Mytilus edulis: one gene and its partner. The protein of the gene in region 1 purifies or fractionates together with the protein of each later gene. This does not show direct contact. Links are inferred from orthologs where the notes say so. Each region holds a gene or a part of one and is shown in the gene's direction. Other genes may lie near its edges.

The links.
Region 2: the proteins of segment polarity protein dishevelled homolog DVL-3-like (region 1) and vang-like protein 2-B purify together in Drosophila melanogaster (affinity purification with western blotting; 3 studies listed by BioGRID). This does not show direct contact. The link is inferred for Mytilus edulis from reciprocal best matches to the Drosophila melanogaster genes dsh and Vang.

What each region holds. Positions count from the first base shown.
Region 1 is NC_092356.1:40,905,801-40,915,265, forward strand, and holds the start of segment polarity protein dishevelled homolog DVL-3-like, read left to right. Parts: upstream 1-5,052; 5' UTR 5,053-5,158; coding exon 5,159-5,319; intron 5,320-6,773; coding exon of another isoform or gene 6,774-7,817; intron 7,818-9,465. Other genes in the region: uncharacterized protein, read left to right, coding at 6,774-7,817.
Region 2 is NC_092348.1:7,027,660-7,037,326, forward strand, and holds the start of vang-like protein 2-B, read left to right. Parts: upstream 1-5,905; 5' UTR 5,906-6,250; intron 6,251-9,667. Other genes in the region: uncharacterized protein, read right to left, coding at 352-455, 1,066-1,212, 1,633-1,770, 3,101-3,193.

The sequences.
Region 1 (9,465 bases):
AACGGACGCACGGACGAACAGACCAGAAAACATAATGCCCCTCTACTATCGTATGTGGGGCATAAAAATTCATTACTTAAGAAAACATAAAATCTAAAATTTATAAAAATGGAAAGGCAGCTTATGTCAATAGATATAAACAATTTATCAAAGTTGCATAAAATTTTGTGAAAGTGTTAGTTATTGTCCCAAAATTGGAAAATCCCCCCTTTTTTTAGCATAAAAATTCATAACACGGAAATGTAAAATCTGAAATTTAAAAAAAATTGAAAGAGAGCCTACATCAATAGATATAAACAATTCACCAAAGTTTCATGGACATTGGTGAAAGCCTTTTTGAGTTATTGTCCAAAGTGTTGAAAATCCCCCTTTTTTTAATGAATAAAGCCCCATAAATCCAAAACTTAAAATCTGAAATTTATAAAAATTGAAAGGGAGCTTACATCAATAGATATAAACAATTCACCAAAGTTTCATGGACATTGGTGAAAGCCTTTTTGAGTTATTGTCCAAAGTGTTGAAAATCCCCCTTTTTTTATGAATAAAGCCCCATAAATCCAAAACTTAAAATCTGAAATTTATAAAAATTGAAAGGGAGCTTACATCAATAGATATAAGCAATTCACCAAAGTTTCATGGACATTGGTGAAAGCCTTTTTGAGTTATTGTCCGAAGTGTTGAAAATCCCCCTTTTTTTATGAATAAAGCCCCATAAATCCAAAACTTAAAATCTGAAATTTATAAAAATTGAAAGGGAGCTTACATCAATAGATATAAACAATTCACCAAAGTTTCATGGACATTGGTGAAAGCCTTTTTGAGTTATTGTCCGAAGTGTTGAAAATCCCCCTTTTTTATGAATAAAGCTCCATAAATGCAAAACTTAAAATCTGAAATTTATAAAAATTGAAAGGGAGCTTACATCAATAATTATAAACAATTCACCAAAGTTTCATGGACATTGGTGAAAGCCTTTTTGAGTTATTGTCCGAAGTGTTGAAAATCCCCCCTTTTTTATAAATAAAGCCCCATAAATCCAAAAATTATAACCTGAAATTAAAAAAAAACGAAAGGGAGCTTACGTCAATAGATATCAACAATTCACTTAAATTTCATGGAAATTGGTGAAAGTGTTTTTGAGTTATTGTCCGTAGTGTGGACGATGGACGGACGGACAGACGGACAACGGTATACCATAATACGTCCCGTCTAAAAGACGATGGGCGCATAAAAACATCAAAATTTCCTTAAAATTACCAATTCAGGGGCAGCAACCTAACAACGGGTTGTCCGATTCATCTGAAAATTTCAGGGCAGATAGATCTTGACCTGATAAACAATTTTACCCCTTGTCAGATTTGCTCTAAATGCTTTGGTTTTTGAGTTATGAGCTAAAAACTGCATTTTACCCCTATGTTCTATTTTTAGCCATGGCAGCAGGGCTTTCCATTGAAGCCGGTAGCCGGCGGAAATCCGCCGTTTGCGGTGGCTTCAAGTGCCGGCTACTTCACTGACAAAAATATAAATTCAAAAAGAAAATAATATCTTTTTCAAATGTTTACAGGCAGCCGAGAGACGTATTTTCGCAAAGTCGCGGTCACGATAAACAAGGATGAAAAGTCAGTGTTTACCTTGGGCTAAATATAGTTCACATGAATTCAGGTCACTGATTGGTTGTCTGTTTAAAGTCAGAATGCATCGTTTCTTTTCAAAGATAACAAGAGAGACGTTCCGGTGGTCATTGAATGATAACAATAGAGACGTTCCGAGGGTCAATAACTCGTTGGCTTTTTTACTTTTAAAACGTGAAGACAATCAGATAGGATGACAATCTTATGTTATGGAATAATATCAGTCAAATTAAAGAAAGTGTAGTAGATCATAATGTTCAGAATCTTGAAAACAGTATCTTTTGAAGTTCATTTTTCAAGGCCCACGTGGTGTTCAGAGAATCAAGGTCAAAAACGAAAGTAGAATATTGTCGACTCGACCTCAAATAAATAACATTTCCAAATAATTTATGTATCCGACTTATTGAACAGTTTAAAAGAGAAAATCAGAGGATATATCAATTTTCTGTCAATGCTTGAAAAATAATTGTATGATTTTAGTTACGCGTACCAGTCTTTAGAGAGAAAAGGGGGGTCATTTGTTTACAAATGCACGTAGTTCTGCAAAATAAATCGATGAAGATTTTTAACAAACCGGATTATTATATAAATAAATCTCTTTTAAAAGTAAATGAATTTTAAGCATAAATAAATGAAAATAAAAAACTATAACATAAAAAAAAAAAGTCTTTGAGATTTTTTTTTTCTTTAATTTCATACATAAAAAATGGTCATTTGAAAGATGAAATTAGGTGCCAGGAGATTGCGAGAATGCAGGATTTTGCTCTATTTATGGCAGAGCTTCTGGGGGCCTTGAGCGGCCCCCAGACCCCCTGCCGTAAGGCACCAAGCTTACAGCTTGGTGGACGTCCGGCTTCGCCGAACGCATGTTACAGCCGCCTATAATTTTAATTCAGCCTTCTACTTCAATTTCAATGGAAAGCCCTGATGGCGGCCATGTTTTTTGATGAAATGGGAATTAAAACACAAACTTTATTCTAGATACCCTAGGAATCAATCAGATGAAGTTTGGTTTGAATTGGTTCAGTAGTTTCAGAGGAGAAGATCTTTGAAATAGTTTACGACGACGACGGACAAACGACAACGGACGCCAAGTAATGGCAAAAGCTCACATTTCCTTTTGGAAAGGTGAGCTAAAAAACAATTTCTTTAGGTAAAAACCATGATTAACATATAAATCGGTGAAGACGAATTTGACAGCTAATTCTCCTTTAAGGGAGTCCATATGGGTTCAGTAAACAGGATTTTTTATGCCATACACCAACAGGAAATCCTGAATGATACACCATTCAGTGTGTAAAGAAAGTGGAAACAGTTTCTGGGATCTTTAGCAAATTAAAGGGGCACTAGCTACGAGATATATACAAAATCTAAAATTTGATTTTTTTTTTTGTTCAATCAATAATGAAAGTGAAATAGTGAAATAACAATTCGCTTTTGCAGCCAAAAAGGTTCAATTTTGTCAAATTACGCTAAGAAACATTGATAATTAGTTATTCACTTGCAAGTGAATGAGTCAACCTCTTAAAACCCGTATTCATGTGAACTTCAATTTAACCCCTAGCTAGAGATAGACAACGCATGCATTGTACGTGTACTGGTTATTTAAAGAAAAGGAATGACAACAATGAAAGTGAAACTACGGTAAAACATTTGATTACTAATCGATGCACATAAAATCATTCTTATACTGTTAAAAACAATGAGAAACATCTATTTTTAATCTATAAAATATAATCAAACAGACCTATAAAGCTCCAATTGCACGTGTTGGTTTAATCTATTCATATCTTTATTTATGTTTACATCGCTTTTATGGTCATCTGAAGTCAAATAGATAGTTAATTGGATGGCGTCTGGACTAAAAAACAAACGAAACGAACCTATATATTATCTACCCCATGCTCTGTAAACTGTTTATTTTAGACGTTTGATAGTTAGGATTAATCACGATTAATGTTTTACATTGTTATAAATCAAATATGAGAATTTGAATCAAATCGGTGTTCATGAATTTGACAGCTAGTGCCCCTTTAACATGTACATCATTGCAACATGTACTATAATGTCTTTCAATAGTAATCAATCATTTCAGATTTTGAGATATACCTTTGCCTTCAACTCTAGTTCTGCATTTTAAATTTTGTCTGCCAGTTGGCAGTATTTTTTTTCTAAATTACTTCAATATAAATTTCCCATATTTTACCCATTAATTCAATCTACTATAGAAGCAGTATCATGAACTTATCAGTGCTTATTGATTATGAAATTAAAGTGGTGTTTAACAGGTCTCTTAAATTATAAAATGTACATGGATATATTTGGCAACAAATTATTTTTAGCTTGGAGATATTTTTTAAAGACTATACCTCAAAGTATTTCCAACAAATTTCTGTATCATTCAACATAATTTCAAATACATGTATATTTACACATCCTTCATGAACCATTTAGAAAAGGGACACTTATGTTAGTTCATAAGGGTCACAGTCACAATCATGTTATATGGATTTCATTGAAAATGGACACTGTAAAAATGCAGACTTTCATGATGTCAATTTACAGAGAAATAGATTAAACTGGCGCTAATGATTGGTTGTTGTCATAAAACGTTGTAATGAATTTAAGTTGTGGTTTCCGCATTCCTTACACCAAGTCTGGCCATGTTCGTGTCGACCTTAACATTTACAATTCAAATTTGGGACCACAGGTACCGAGAGGGCTTGACACTTTTACAATGGGCCAGATATATCAATCTTAACTGCGCTTTTCAGACTCCCAAAATTACCAACTTGTTGATTTAATACATCGTGATGCTGAAAATTCTGAATATGTTGCTGGCGGAAGTGCTTCCTTCGAAAATCCGCAGTGAATAAATGTTGACAAATAAAAATTGAAAAAAAATAAAATAAAGAAATATTTCTTTAGAAAATTCTCATCTAGTCACATGCCAATAAAATATTAAGAAACAAGTGTCTCAAAATGAATCTGTCTTAATCTCAAACTTTTTATTCTTATTTTACCAAAATTTTGCCATGTTTTGTTGAATAAAAAGGATGATTCATCATGTCTCATGAAATTCATTGGATTAATAATCTGTTAGACATTTGCAATTGTGGCTATTTCTATATATTTTGTTAATATTCATTTATTTAATGTACAATATTTTATCTGATGCTTTTTTCGGGCACTTGTTTTTGAGAAATTTAAGAGAACCATTTGAATGTCAATTACTAAATCCGAAACAAAGCAAAAGTCAAAAGAAATAGTTCTGTATGCGAAAATAGAGAAAATCATTACAATTTACCAATGGATAATTTCTTGATTTTAATAAAACTATCGATTTTTTTCTTATCAAGTGATGTGAAAGTTTAAGATATTTAATTTTCATTTTCGGAAACGAAAATTAACTGATTGACATACGGGTTTCAATTTGGCACTGAACAGAAGAAAACATTTGGACGCCATTTTCCACAGAAACTTGATAATCATTGTGGATTTAACAACATCAGACATCCTCCTTCGGGATGGAGGAGACCAAAATCATCTATTATATAGATGACGAAGACACTCCTTATTTAATCAAACTACCTATTCCCGCTGATCGTGTAAATCTTGGTGATTTTAAGAACGCTTTAAACAGACCAAATTACAAATTTTTCTTCAAATCGGTGGATGATGACTTCGGGTAAGTTAAAGCCAGTTGCACACCATGAAAGATCTAGGTGCCCGCAATAATGTTTAATTCAGATTTTCAGAGTATTAGTTAATACTGTCACTTTTGCAGTACGAGAAAAACAACCAGTAGACTACTGGTAAAAAAATATAATTTACAAATAACATAATTTCATTGTATTGCATTAATATACACCTTATCGTGTATTGCATTAATATACACCTTATCGCTATTTGTCTGCCATTACTGGATATCACACAGGTTCACGTAAAATTTTGACTTCATAAAACAAGATATCCGATGCCACAATGGAAAAGTGATTGTTGTTGACGTCAAAAGTTCAAGCGGCCGGGTCAGCCGGGGTTGGCGATAAGGTCAACGGAAAAAAAGTCACAGGAAAAAAAGTCACAAAACCTCTAGGAAAAAAAGTCACAGGAAAAAAAGTCTCAAGAAAAAAAGTCACAGGAAAAAAAGTCACAATTATAAAATTATTTGAAAGAAGTATATAAAATGTTTTATAAGAAGTATGTTGGAATGCACATGACAAAAGTGATTTTGTATATCAGCTGTATGAAATAGATAATTTAAAAAAATGTAGTTTTGTTAAATAAAAATAATACTACTAGTAAAAGTGTATCAGATCAATTATTTTTAAATAAAAGCTTTTAAAATTTATATAGGTAAAGCGCACATCGATATTAACAGATTTCGTTTTATTTATGGGTTAATAAAATAAAAAAATATATGTTTTTCATCATTTTTTTTTTTAATAAATACACCAAAAAAATGAAAAGTGTATTATAATTTATGTTCTCTTTTTAAAACCAAACTCTTAAACAAACAGGATAAGCCATTTGTTTCCTTTTCATTCATGATAAGCCCTAGTTGTTTTTCATGGGTAGGGCTTCCTTCCAAAAGAGGAAGTGAAAGGTCTGCAAAAAAGGGAAAGGTGCCACAAGAAGCCACTAATTAATCTCAACAGTCACTGTCAATAAATGTTGTAATTACATAATTATTGTTAATGGGGATGCTTTGTTTGTTTAACATGTAATTGAAGGATTCTCATGAAATTGGTAAAAACACAGCTATAGAAAAACAAAAATCACAATAACATGTGGTCAAACCATATCATAGACTTTCTAACTTTGACTCAAATTAAAGAAAATGTATGACTTCATTTACTTTTCTATAAAAGAAAAAAATAATTTCAAGTGTTATTAAATCAAGTATGGAAGTCATCAAGAGCAACAAAGGTGGTTCCAAACTTTGCTACCAGGGGTACATGTACACTATTAAAGCATACTACCAGAAAGACAGTACAGTGGTGGAAATGTGTGAAGCGATCCAGCACTGCATGTAAAGGGTCCATTACAACTTCTCTGCAGAATGAAAATCCAACTCCTGGCCAGCCACACAACCATGATCCAAGTGATATTAGCATAAAGTACACTAAGTCCAGGTACGCAATGAAAGAGCAGGCTGCTCTCACCAGAGACAAACCAAGCCAGATCTTCGCCCAGGTTGTTTCAACATGTGAAGATGATGTGCAAGCAATGATGCCCAGAGAAGAGAATTGTAAACGCACCATGCGCAACCAGCGTCCAACACCACCTGTTCCCCAGAGCTTTGTAGATGTCACACTGCCAGCAGAATTCACTATTACAACCAACCACCAACAGTTCCTACTGTATGACAATGGACAGAATGCTGAGAACAGAATGTTGGTCTTTTGTAGTCCTGACAGTTTAAGACGTCTTTTTAAACAGCTGTACACCATCCGAGTACCTTTTAAAGATGTTACAGTCACCACAGTGTATGCTTTCTTGCCGAACAAGAATCAAGATACATACAGAGAGTTATTTCAGTCATTGGTCGACAAATGCCAAGCCAGCCACCTACAGTTAAATGTTCAGACTGTGGTAACAGACTTCGAAGATGGCGTTCTACGTGCAGTGTCGGCAGTATTTGGCCGCCATATCAACAACCAGGGATGTTTCTATCATCTTACACAAGCAACTTGGAGAAAGATACAGAGCCTTGGTTTGGTTCCCCACTACAAGATTAGCGATGACTTCCGCTTGTTCTGTGGTATGATGGACGGCCTTGCCTTTCTGCCTGTAGCTGATTTGCCAAATGGTGTCCACCTGCTAAGAACTTTGTGTCCAGATGACCCACCAGAAGCAGCTGAACTTCTTGATTACTTTGATGCAACCTATGTAAGTGGCAACATGAGACGTAACCCAGCACCAGGTCAAGGTCTCCGTTTAGTAATGCGCCGCACTCCACCCATGTTCCCACCAACTATATGGAATGTCCATGACGCAACAGTCAACGGTGATTCAAGAACCAACAATGTATGTGAAGGTTGGAACAACAAATTCTTCAACTTAGTAGGTTATGCCCACCCATCAATATGGAGAGTAGTAGAATGGTGCCAGAAAGAAGAAGCTACAGTGAGAACCTTGATACAACAAGACGCTGTAGGTGTGAGCCAAAATTTGTTCCTGTGAAAAAAGTTCCAGTGGAACTAATTTCACAGGAAATATGTTCTGGGAGAACTTTTTTCACAGACAATTTCTATATAATTTGTTCCATCTCTATGAAATAAGTTCCACACTTTACTTGGTGAAATAAGTTCTGGGTTGGTGAAATTTGTTCCTTACCTAGTGAAATAAGTTCCATGTTTGTGAGATTTGTTCCTCACCTGGTGAAATAAGTTCTTGATTTGTGAAATTTGTTCCTCACCTGGTGAAATAAGTTCCTTGTCTGTGAAATATGTTCCACTGGTTAAACAAGTTTTCCTATATACTGAGCACTTGTCATTATAAAATACATGTATTATATTGATAATGTAATAAATAAAAAGTGTAAGCATCCAATTGGATCATGTGGAGTAAAGCAAAAGTTTAATAACATGGCAGCTCAAGTAATAATACTAAAAATGGCACTTATGAGCCAGGAAAGAGTAGAATAAGAAATAATAATAAAAGTCATTCCGAAAAAAGTATTATAGTTGAAGATGAATATTTGTACTTTTTTGAAAAGCACAAAGTGGCTGATCAATTATATTAAAAGACATAAAGAAACAAAATACACGCTCTTTAAAAACTGTGCAATGACCATAGCTAAGTACATGTAGGATTAGAACACCCATGACAGATCATCAGGAAACATGGAGGTTGAATACCACATAAACGATCAAACATAGATACATTATCATCGCTTTTATTTCTTATCTTCATGCTAAAGTCATTCCTTCAATTGCAAATGTACCCCATGCAAGCACAGAACTTATTTTCTGTGAAATAGGTTTGAGCAGAACATTTTCATTGATTTCTATAAAATACCTACGTTTAAAACTAATATCCCAAGAACTTATTTCACTTTTTTTTTTAAATTTTAATATTGGAACAAAATTGATGGTGCTGTGATTTTTGTTCCAGAACCTATTTCACACTTGGTTAAAAAATTAGTTCCGGAACAAATTTTATAGTGCTGGAACATATTTTCTGTGACATAAGTTCCAGTGGAACTTATTTCCTATGAAATTTGTTCTGATGGAACAAATGTCACGCCGGAACAAATTTTTTGTTACATAGGCACCCCACCAGTTAAACGGGTCCAACAACGTTATGTCCAACTTCAACTAAGACTTCAAAACTTGTGCAGAGACTTGACATCAGGCAACAAGACCATTGCAGAATTTCTCAGGGGTGTTGGTTGGAACATAAGACTTAACCATTAGTTGTCATCTCTGCTATATATCAAGTGAACTTTAAGTAAAACTATGTGCATCACATGTTCATTATCTGTTGTTCATTGATAAAGACATTTATTTGTGCTTGATTATTTATTATGTTACTATTATTGACTTATATTATTATGATGTATACATTAAATCTACATTACTACATTCAATTCGTTTTGCTTAATTTATTTCTTTAACACTATATCAACAGGTCATACATAAAAAAAAAGGTATGAAACAAAAAGAACTTCAACATGTATCAGTACACGATCTTGTACAGGTGACCTATGTTTGTTAATTTCTGTGTCATTTTGGTCTCTTGTGGACAGTTGGGTACCACATCTTCTTTTTTAATATATCAATACACGAACTTGTACAGGTTTTCTTTTGCTTTGCGATTTTACGTGTAA
Region 2 (9,667 bases), on another chromosome or scaffold:
AAACAAAATAAGTAATAAGTTGATTATCAAATTTCTTTTACATTAACATTCAGTGCTACATGTACTAGATACATAAGACAATTTAACTTATTTAATGTTATAAATTTTACGGAAAACCTGATAATTTATAGTTATTGCTTACCGGTAAGCAATAACTATAAATTACCAACTTTCCCTAGTCCCCTTCCAAACATGAACCATTCACATTCACAAAATGCTTTGGAAAAGCAATGGGGTATATATGGTATCTATATGTATTTATTATGCGTTCAGGATACTAGGTATAAGAGTACAACTGACTAGCATGTACTACAGGTATAACAGGTGAGGAAACTTCAAATAAAATGTTACCATGCAACTACACCTCCATGTTTAGCAGGCTTAGCAAATAACTGATCATGCCAAAATCTCACAGCTGTTTGTTTATCAGGTACTAACAACTGAGACGCAGGCACCTTAAATGTGTTCAATAAGATGTTAAAAAATTTAAAAAAAAAAAGGCTCTTTGCTGCATACACTGCTTACTTGCTCCAATAATCTATTTCAAATCTATAAATGACCTGTATAGCTCCATATAAATTTTGTTAGATTCCCTTAGGGCTATTCCAGAAAAAAATGTATGGGGGGGTTGGAAGGCACATTATTAATATAATACATGGGTGATGGCTATCAGAGCAACTTTTCACACTATAATGCACTATAATTCTCAATTACAATTGTCTGGGTGGCAGGTGCTGACAAAAACTGCCTTCCAACCCCCCCCCCCCCCCCCCCCCCCCCCATACATTTTTTTCTGGAATAGCCCTTAGTTAGAATATATAAATATTGTTTGTTTTGTTGTCTTTTTTTAATCTTTTAAGTTCTTTCAATTTTTATTTACAAGTATTACTGTCCTTCCTTGTAAATTATACATGATATACTATATGAGAAGACTGGAAAATTAGCTCAGTTAAAACAAATCTAAGGATTAGGTGAAATTTTGTATGTTATAAGCTAAAAACTGTAGCATAAATCAAGTAAATATTGTTGGCATAACAACAGAGTTTGCCAAAAATGACCACTCACCACAATTTGAGGAAGAAATGGCAAGTCATGAAATAATGATGTCAATCTCCAATGTCCAAGACAATGTATGAGAACATTGTTAGGATCCCCACTCTGGTTAGAATGGTACTCATACATCATATCCATTCCAGGATGCTCTACTTCACCCTGAAATAAACATATGATATGTCTGATACCCTACAATATACACACATCTTTTAATTGTGTAATAAAATGAATACAAACCCAGTCTAAGTTCCTGTTCAATCATATAATATTGAATCAAATATCTAATAAAATTAAATTGTTTTTTTTAACATTAAAAATGTGTCTTTCAAGTTCTCTTTGTCTACATGTGTTGGTACTACATTCATGACATTATCTACTGTGCAAGAAATTTTGTGATATGTTAAAGTGTTTTTATTTGTTTCGAGTATTTAAATTCATAAATATATTTCTGCTTTCTTATGTTAATATTCATATTTACTTAGACAGAAAAAGATTGTGTAATTAATTACATTGATGTTTTCATTTGTTACTTGAATACCTCCAAATAAGGCAATAATTGATTACACCTTTCATACTTACTGTGAAGTATTTATAATCATTTATAATTCTATTGCATTGTTCCTCTGATAGAAGTGGTATGTTTGTTACTACACCATCTGTCCAAAATTGATTAGTTTGTTCTTCTGTCCACATCAATTTACTCCAATCGTCTTTATCCTGGGGAAAAAAGCAGTCAGCATAAGTTTTAAAATTTTCTTTCTTGTAATTAAATTACTAGTATATATAATAAATAGTATGCAGTCAAAGAAAAGAGAAATATGTATTTTAAACTTCTGTAACTTTCCATTCTTATTCTTGTAAGTTTTTTTTTATTTCAATCTTTCTAAAAACCTCATACTTCATTTAGAGTAAATGGCGGACTGCTGAACCAATGCCTCTAAAGTTTGGTGAAGGTAGAGATTTCTTAAGGAGGCTCGCGGATATAAAATTTTCAGAAAAAAATTTAACATTTATTTTTCATTACAAATTTTATTAATTACCTTTAGTAGTTGTTTCTTTATCATATGGTACAAAAATCATTCCAAAAACTCAATTCGTGTTGGTCCCAGGTGACATTTAAATTGTAGATATCATTGAAAAAGCTCCAAATTATCTCCCTTTGGTGCAAAAATGCCATTTTTTGGCATTTAAATTGAAATATCTTTTTTAACTCATCGGTGACCTATATTTTTTATTGTTGTTTTCGAATTAGCTGTACATAAACTAAATAATTGTAAAATTTAAACGATTTCTGTAATTTAGTTCTTTTTTTATTTCGATATTACCGCTTTTTCTCCTATTAGTTCAACAGAAAAAAAGGACATTAACAAAAATGTATGCTTCTTTCGAAGCCAGATTGTGAGCGTAAATGAACGGTGACCCCATTTTTTTATTTATTTTTTCTATTAAGAATAGAATAAAGTTCTTTTATAGAAAAATATAGCGAAATCCTATATTAAATAAAAAAATTGATTTAGACCCGCGAGCCCCCTTAAATGGATACTGATGGTATGCAGGGTTGTCAAAAGAGTAGAAGAAATTAAATTGTAGACTTTATACACTTCAAATGTGTTCAGTAACACTAAATGTTGTTGTCAATTTAGCAGTGACTGACTGTTTTATCCTTTATTTGTAACATAACAAGCACATGCACAAATGTCTGTTGTTCCAGTATCTTGGATAATTCTGAGCATATCCCACATAATTTATATGTTAAGTTAACTAAGACTTACATTGTTGATTTCATGTGAAAATGACATTGTGTGAATAAATTTTAATCGCTGTCCATCTTTAAAACTAGGTTTATGTTTGAAAACATCTTATAAACAGGATTCAGGTAGAGATAGAAAAGGAGCGAAAGATACCAGAGGGACATTCAAAATCATAGATTGAAAATAAACTGACAATGCCATGGATAAAAATGAGAAAGACAAACAGACAAATAATAGTACACAACTTGTGACAAGACAATAATCATTAAAATATTATTAGTTGCATTAACACTCACTGTAATAGGCTTAAACAGATCTCCAGATGGTTCATGTACTGTGCTCCAATCTGGTACTCCAGGTAGGAATTCTTTGGGCTCTGGTGGTGACATTTTCCTGTGAAAAAGAAAACATGAATAATTTCAATTATAAATAAAGCCTGTAAATCCTATCCTTTTATAAATTATATAAAATAATTCTGTACCAAAGTTTTGTTGAATTTTTTTTTTTTTTAGACTCTTATGTATTGTAGTCTTATGTCATATATGTAGTATTATAATATTAACTGAAACATAAAGTCTTACAACAAAATGTCCATTTTCTATCCATTTAGGGTTTAATTTGTATGTATGGTAAAGACAATAAATTGTTAGGATGCTTACTCTAATTTAATTTTGAGTTACTATCTCACTTACATTTATCCCTTTAAATCATGTTTTTGAATGTCCATCTGGTATCTTTCACCCCTCTTTATTCATGTCCAATTAAAAACATTCAAAAAATCCTTCAAGTGGGTGTACGACTGTTTTGAAAACAACAAAATGAAAATAATTCAAAATTCATTCAAAGTAAAGAAAAATCCTGCATAGGACAATACTTTTTTTCTGTTTTGACTGGGATGAGAAGCTCAGTGATCTGGAAGGTTTTTTTCACTATGGGCCCAGGGCCCCTCAAAAATAAATTCAATGGGCCATTTTTAAAGATAATGGGCCATGTTGTCAAATGGTTGGGCCATTTGAATTGACTTCTGTAAAAAAATAAAAATTATCATTATTTTTTGGCAAAGAGGTGTTGGTACTTACCTTGATTATTTTAAATAATATCATGGATATTGTTCCTGTGATTCGGTAATTTCAATGAAATAGAATATACAATAACTTCTTCCAAAACAGACAATATTAAAGATAATCTGTAAATTACAAAGTTTAAACTGGTACTGTTGCCTTGGCTTGTTCATGTTCATGGTTGTTTATTTTTAACATTAAATTTGGGTCTTCGTCGATACCATACTTATTGCAGACGTTCCGTATTAGAGAACATTTCAGGCACTTCTTGTATTATTATTATTACTTCATCACGTTGACAAGATTAACAGCAGAGAGTACCATTATTGTTAGAACAAAACAATTATTTGCTGAGGTCATGTTTACAAAATGTCAAAACGAGCCAAAGACCAAAAAAATGACAAGGACAGTTAAGCGCCTTTTATGGAGACAAAAACTATATTCATAAAAAGACTTGGGTTTTTTTCAATCGAAATAATAGCAAGCTAAACTAAATTAAAAGATTAGAGTTACATCTCGTCTGTAATAGCCAAATTTCATAAATTTAAAGTTGTTTATAAAAAGTTATATCATGAATGATGGTTAATTACGTTTTTTGGGTTATCATTTAGACCGCATGGTTCTATTATTACCATAGAAAAACACCCGAGACTTAAAACCGCATGGTTCTATTACCATAGGAAAACACCCGGGACGTCCCAAAAATATATTGGTGCTCCAATGATTGGAGGAACATTATACAGTTGTAAACACACACATGGCGGCACGGAAAACGATATGAAATCCATTTGACGATATCTAAACTTTTCGAAACGATGTGAAAAATATTGTGCGCCACGTGGGCCCTTACATTTGTCACTCTATGCGCCATTTCTGGTCAATATGCGCTATAGGCGCAGGGCGCACGTCCTTCCCGATCACTGGAAGCTAAGGACATAATTATTATAAACAAGGTGATGACACCAGTATTGCTTGCGGTACTTTATTTGTATTGCTATTTAGTCCAATCTGGGGAAAAAAACAGTCATTTCAGTCTTCAACAACTTTATATTTGGGTCAAGTGTTTCAAAAACAAAGGTCACCAGTAATGAGCTTTTAAAGGAAAGCATACATGTAGTTTAGAAAGCAAATATTTTGAAACTTTAATAGATTATGATCAACTTTTTTTTAAAACACAAATCAAAAGTAATACAAATTCTTTGTTTGACCTGTTTACAAAGGTTTAGACTTTTCTCCAGACTCCTTGAAAAGTTTTATGCATAACTTCTTGTTTCAATGTCATTATCCTTTTTTGAATACAGATATACAAAGGAAGAAGTTCATGAAGGGTTGTAACTTATTGCATGTGTTGTATTGTAATGTCAGTTTATCATTAGTTTGTACACTATGCATCTGTATTTTCCACCTCTGTATATGGTTAAGTGCATCACAGATTCCTTCCAGCTATTGTGTGATGGGCTGTTGTGCGCACGATTTAATCGTGCTTGCTGAGTAGTGCTGTTTGAAACTCCTCAGTTAAAGTGACACACACTAATGTGTCCTCCGGGTACAAATGTGGAGTTTTTGAACTATTCAGTCTGGCTATTTGGAACTATGAATGCTCGTTTGTTGTAACAGACTTGTTGGTCTATAATATTCTTAGTAATAAATTTATTTTAAAAGGTTGTTGCTCTGATGTATGACATATATCGTTTTGATATAAAATTTAATCATGTCGTCCAGAGAGAACAATGGTGATGGTGTCTTCCCCTCAACCCACATGCACTTGTTTCTGTCAATGGGGGGGTTTACAAACCAAAATCCCCCCCCCCCCCCCTTTTCCTATATTCAGGTGGACATTTTATGACTATGACTATGTGACAACGCTTAAATAGATCGATTTTTATTTCTTCTCATTAAATTCTTTTAATACCTTTAACTTTGATGTCTGGATATTCTGTTCGGCCTTCTCTAAACAGCTAAAAACTTGTAGCCCTTGGTGTACACAGACAGCTTAAAGATGCACCGGAAGTCCCATTTAACCGGATATGTAGCTCTTCTGTTGACCTCCCACACATATTTAAATCATTATTTCACATTTTCAGTTCATTCTTTAATTTTATTCATCCTTTTGCTGCACTATAATTTTCTCGTTTAGTTGTTTTACAGGTGGTTACTTTTTTTTGGAGTTATTTTCTAACGAATACGTTTTATTTTGTTCCAAGTTTTGGCGGGTGGGTTACACAATAGCAAATTCAAAAGCAAAATGGTCTCCTGAAATTTGAATAGTTCATTAGAAAACAAAGCGAAATTTTGAATTGAAATATCCAATGCTTTGACATTAAGGCAAATGGGATTGTGGATTAAGGTTTCCATTAATTGTCACAGATTTATGTAGAAGTTTTGGTAAGTAAAGTTTGAAGCTCCTCAGCTTACAAGGAATCTCAAGTGATTCACCACCGGCGGTACTCCGGTAGTCGAACAACATTTCAATTGTACATAATTCTTAATATTATTCGCGGTCGTTTTAGTCTTTATTCCTGTATATCCTACACAAAGAAATATCTATGTATTAAAACACCCTCGTATTAAGTAGTTTATAGCATCGACATCGTCCTGCTTGTTGCTGAGTAATAGATAAATAGTACATGTACAAATGTATATATACCACATAATTTTTCAGATGCATTTATGAAGCAGTTATGAGGGTAGTAATGCCCTTTGACGTCAAGTGTCAAGTCATTTTTGGCACCTGTTTATCGTCATATTGGTTTAAAATTTACAGTGATTCATTATTCGTCTCAAATGATTATCGTTACCGTTAATTTTGAAAAAAAAATAATCTGATTCGTCAATATCAGTCAATGTTTTTATCATCTGAAAGAAAGTCTACATTTTATCGTCATTCACCAAAAATAACTGTTAACGTCATTTTGCAAGATTTTTTACTGTTATTCGTCATGAAGGTACCCTTATTACGACCCTCAGTTATTGGTGTACATGCATGTACAGTATTTTCTAAAAACATGTACCCCTTCTCTCTGACCACCACAACATTTACATCTGCTTCAATTAAGTTTTATAATAAAGCTGGTAAAAATAAGTATTCCCATATTACAATATTTATTTTGTTATGTTTTGCAAATTCAACAACATGTCGAAATAATATTGCCATGTAAACATACATGTATATCAGAAATGATTTACAAGGCCATTTAAAAGTGTATGAGGGTTTCAGTAAATAATTTACATGACCAACCTTAGTTTAAACCCCATACGGTACGGTATAGTCCCTCTGATATATATCTTTCTCCCCTCTTATAGATTTTTTTTTTTCATTTATGAAAAATTAAAATTCAAATGATCAAATTTTGACTTCTGTCACCTGAAGTGCAGTCTTCACGATGAACTGTTAAATCTAGAGGCCCGGAGCTCAATTTTTGAAAAAAATTAATTAGATTCTATTGGCCTGTAGATATGATTTTAACAGGCCCGAGAGAAATTTTACAAGCCTGGGCTGCCATTCAGTGTGAAGACTGGAAGTGCCATCAGTAGTACCCACTATGACTGTAATTAATGCAACAATATTATCTCTAAATGTATCAAACTTGGATCAAATTAAATAATCATGAGGTATTTAACTGCAAATCAAGGGGACAGAGACTTTTTTAAACAAAATTTCAAGAATGGAGTTGAAAATTAGGGTAGTAATCCCACTCTCTGTTGTGGTAAGCTCTGAGCCCCTAAATTAATACAATTTAGAGATCATTTTGACCCCTGAAAGAGTTCTTAAAGGTTAAGTACAACTGTACATACAGTTGTACTTATCTGTTTCTTGGATTAAGTCAATATTATTAATACACACTAGGTGCCAGATGAACGACTCCAGGTTTAATTTGATAATCAGAACAAATGTTGTTAAACATACTTTTATCTGCATAAAGATGTATCATAAATGAAATGTGCAGTCATCTATTGTAACTTGATGACTGTTGTCTTTGTTATTTACTTTATACATATATACCAGTAACAGCAGTGACCATACATGTCAAAGTTAATGTTATATTTATAAGTATAATACGTTGGAAAGTATCAACTATAAAAAAGAAGATGTGGTATGATTGCTTGTTGACATATTAAGCTGCTTAGGATCTGAAACATAATATTAAGACTAACCCCATCATGTTTTTGTCTATATAAAATTTTGGCTCAAATTAATTGGGAAGTTGAAGATATAAATGCAAAATTGGGAGGTTTTGTTTCATCAAGGAAAAACAATACTGTGTAGCCCTGTTCAAGTGTATCGATAAATCATGTTTTTGTGAGAACAGTGTGTACTTCTTTTTGATATGTACAAAATATAATTCATACATTCAGTGCTCACTTTAAGGAGTGAGGTACATGTATTACCGATTTTGGCTCCTTAATTTTTTTTTAGATTTAATGCATGTATATATTTGTAAAAAAAAAGTTGAAAAGTGTCTTTAAGTTTTCATAATTAATTTTTTTTTTTTTTTAGATATTATGATAGTATTGTTTTATAATGTATAACTTTGTAAATGAAATTTGAGATCTACTAATTTTTCTATGTTTTAAAGAATAGTGTAAACTTTTCCCAGAGTTGTCAACAAATTAAAATTTAGCAACACACCATAAGAAATGAACAGTCTTGACAGTGCTTGATAAGTTGTTCAAATTAAAGAAAAAACATGTATATACGTACAGGGCTAAATAAAAAGTAATAGACAAAGTGCTTTCTCTTCATAAACAAATCTGAATTTGGAAATTGTACAGGTATAAAACATGTACATTTGTACATAAAATTCAACATGTGTGTCAATTGAAATTTTAATGTTTGTGTTTTATGATGTACAAATTTTAGACTGGCAATTGCTTGCTTTGGTAATTTCATATTTTTAGAAATCTGCAAATATCAAAGGAACAAAAATGTCATATTTGTACTTGAATCTCTAAATGAGCACTTTTCTAATTGTATCATATGTGACATATATGTTTGAATATATATATATACAGGCATTTTCTTAAGTCATAATTTTATTGATTTATTACAGAAATTTAAAATTTTCATATTCACTGTACTTTAGATTTATAATAAATCACAATAATGACATTTTTGTTGTAAAATGATCTTTTTATGTTGGTGGGAAGCATATTAAATAAACCAATCCAAACAGCTTTGAACTCATTGACCTTCTGTTGGTGGTTTAATTACCTAATCTGATAGCCCTTGTAATTGTTTTATCTCAATTAACTACAATAAATGGGTGAAATTCATACCTGTTCCTTTGTTGTTATTAGATTTGACACATACCTTTGGGTCTTTTGATTTCTTAATTGAAGAAAAACATCTGTTGATACTCAAATCATGATTATATTACCAAATTTAGATTATTTAAATTGCTGTATAGAGAGTGCAAGGATCTTACAAAAATGAGGATATAAACTTTTTCAGTCAGACTACATCTTTAAAGGTAATAGTTTGAACTTGATCAGCTTCTCTTTATGACAAATGTAGAAAAATAGTTGACCAATAGAAATGTTAATGTGTTCATGACTGATAACACCAATATATATATTTACTTTAAAATCACAAATGTGGGATTTTCGAGAACACATCAGCCAGAAAAGATCGAGAGTACATTAACATCTATATGTTAATTTCTCAGCCTACACTTTTGCAGGAACATTTATAAATAAGTAATTTCCTGGAGGCAAACAATTGGTATGGACATATAAAATCTATTATTTAAATTTATTGTTTTAAGATTGGTTAATTGTTTAAATGAGAATACAACAAAACTC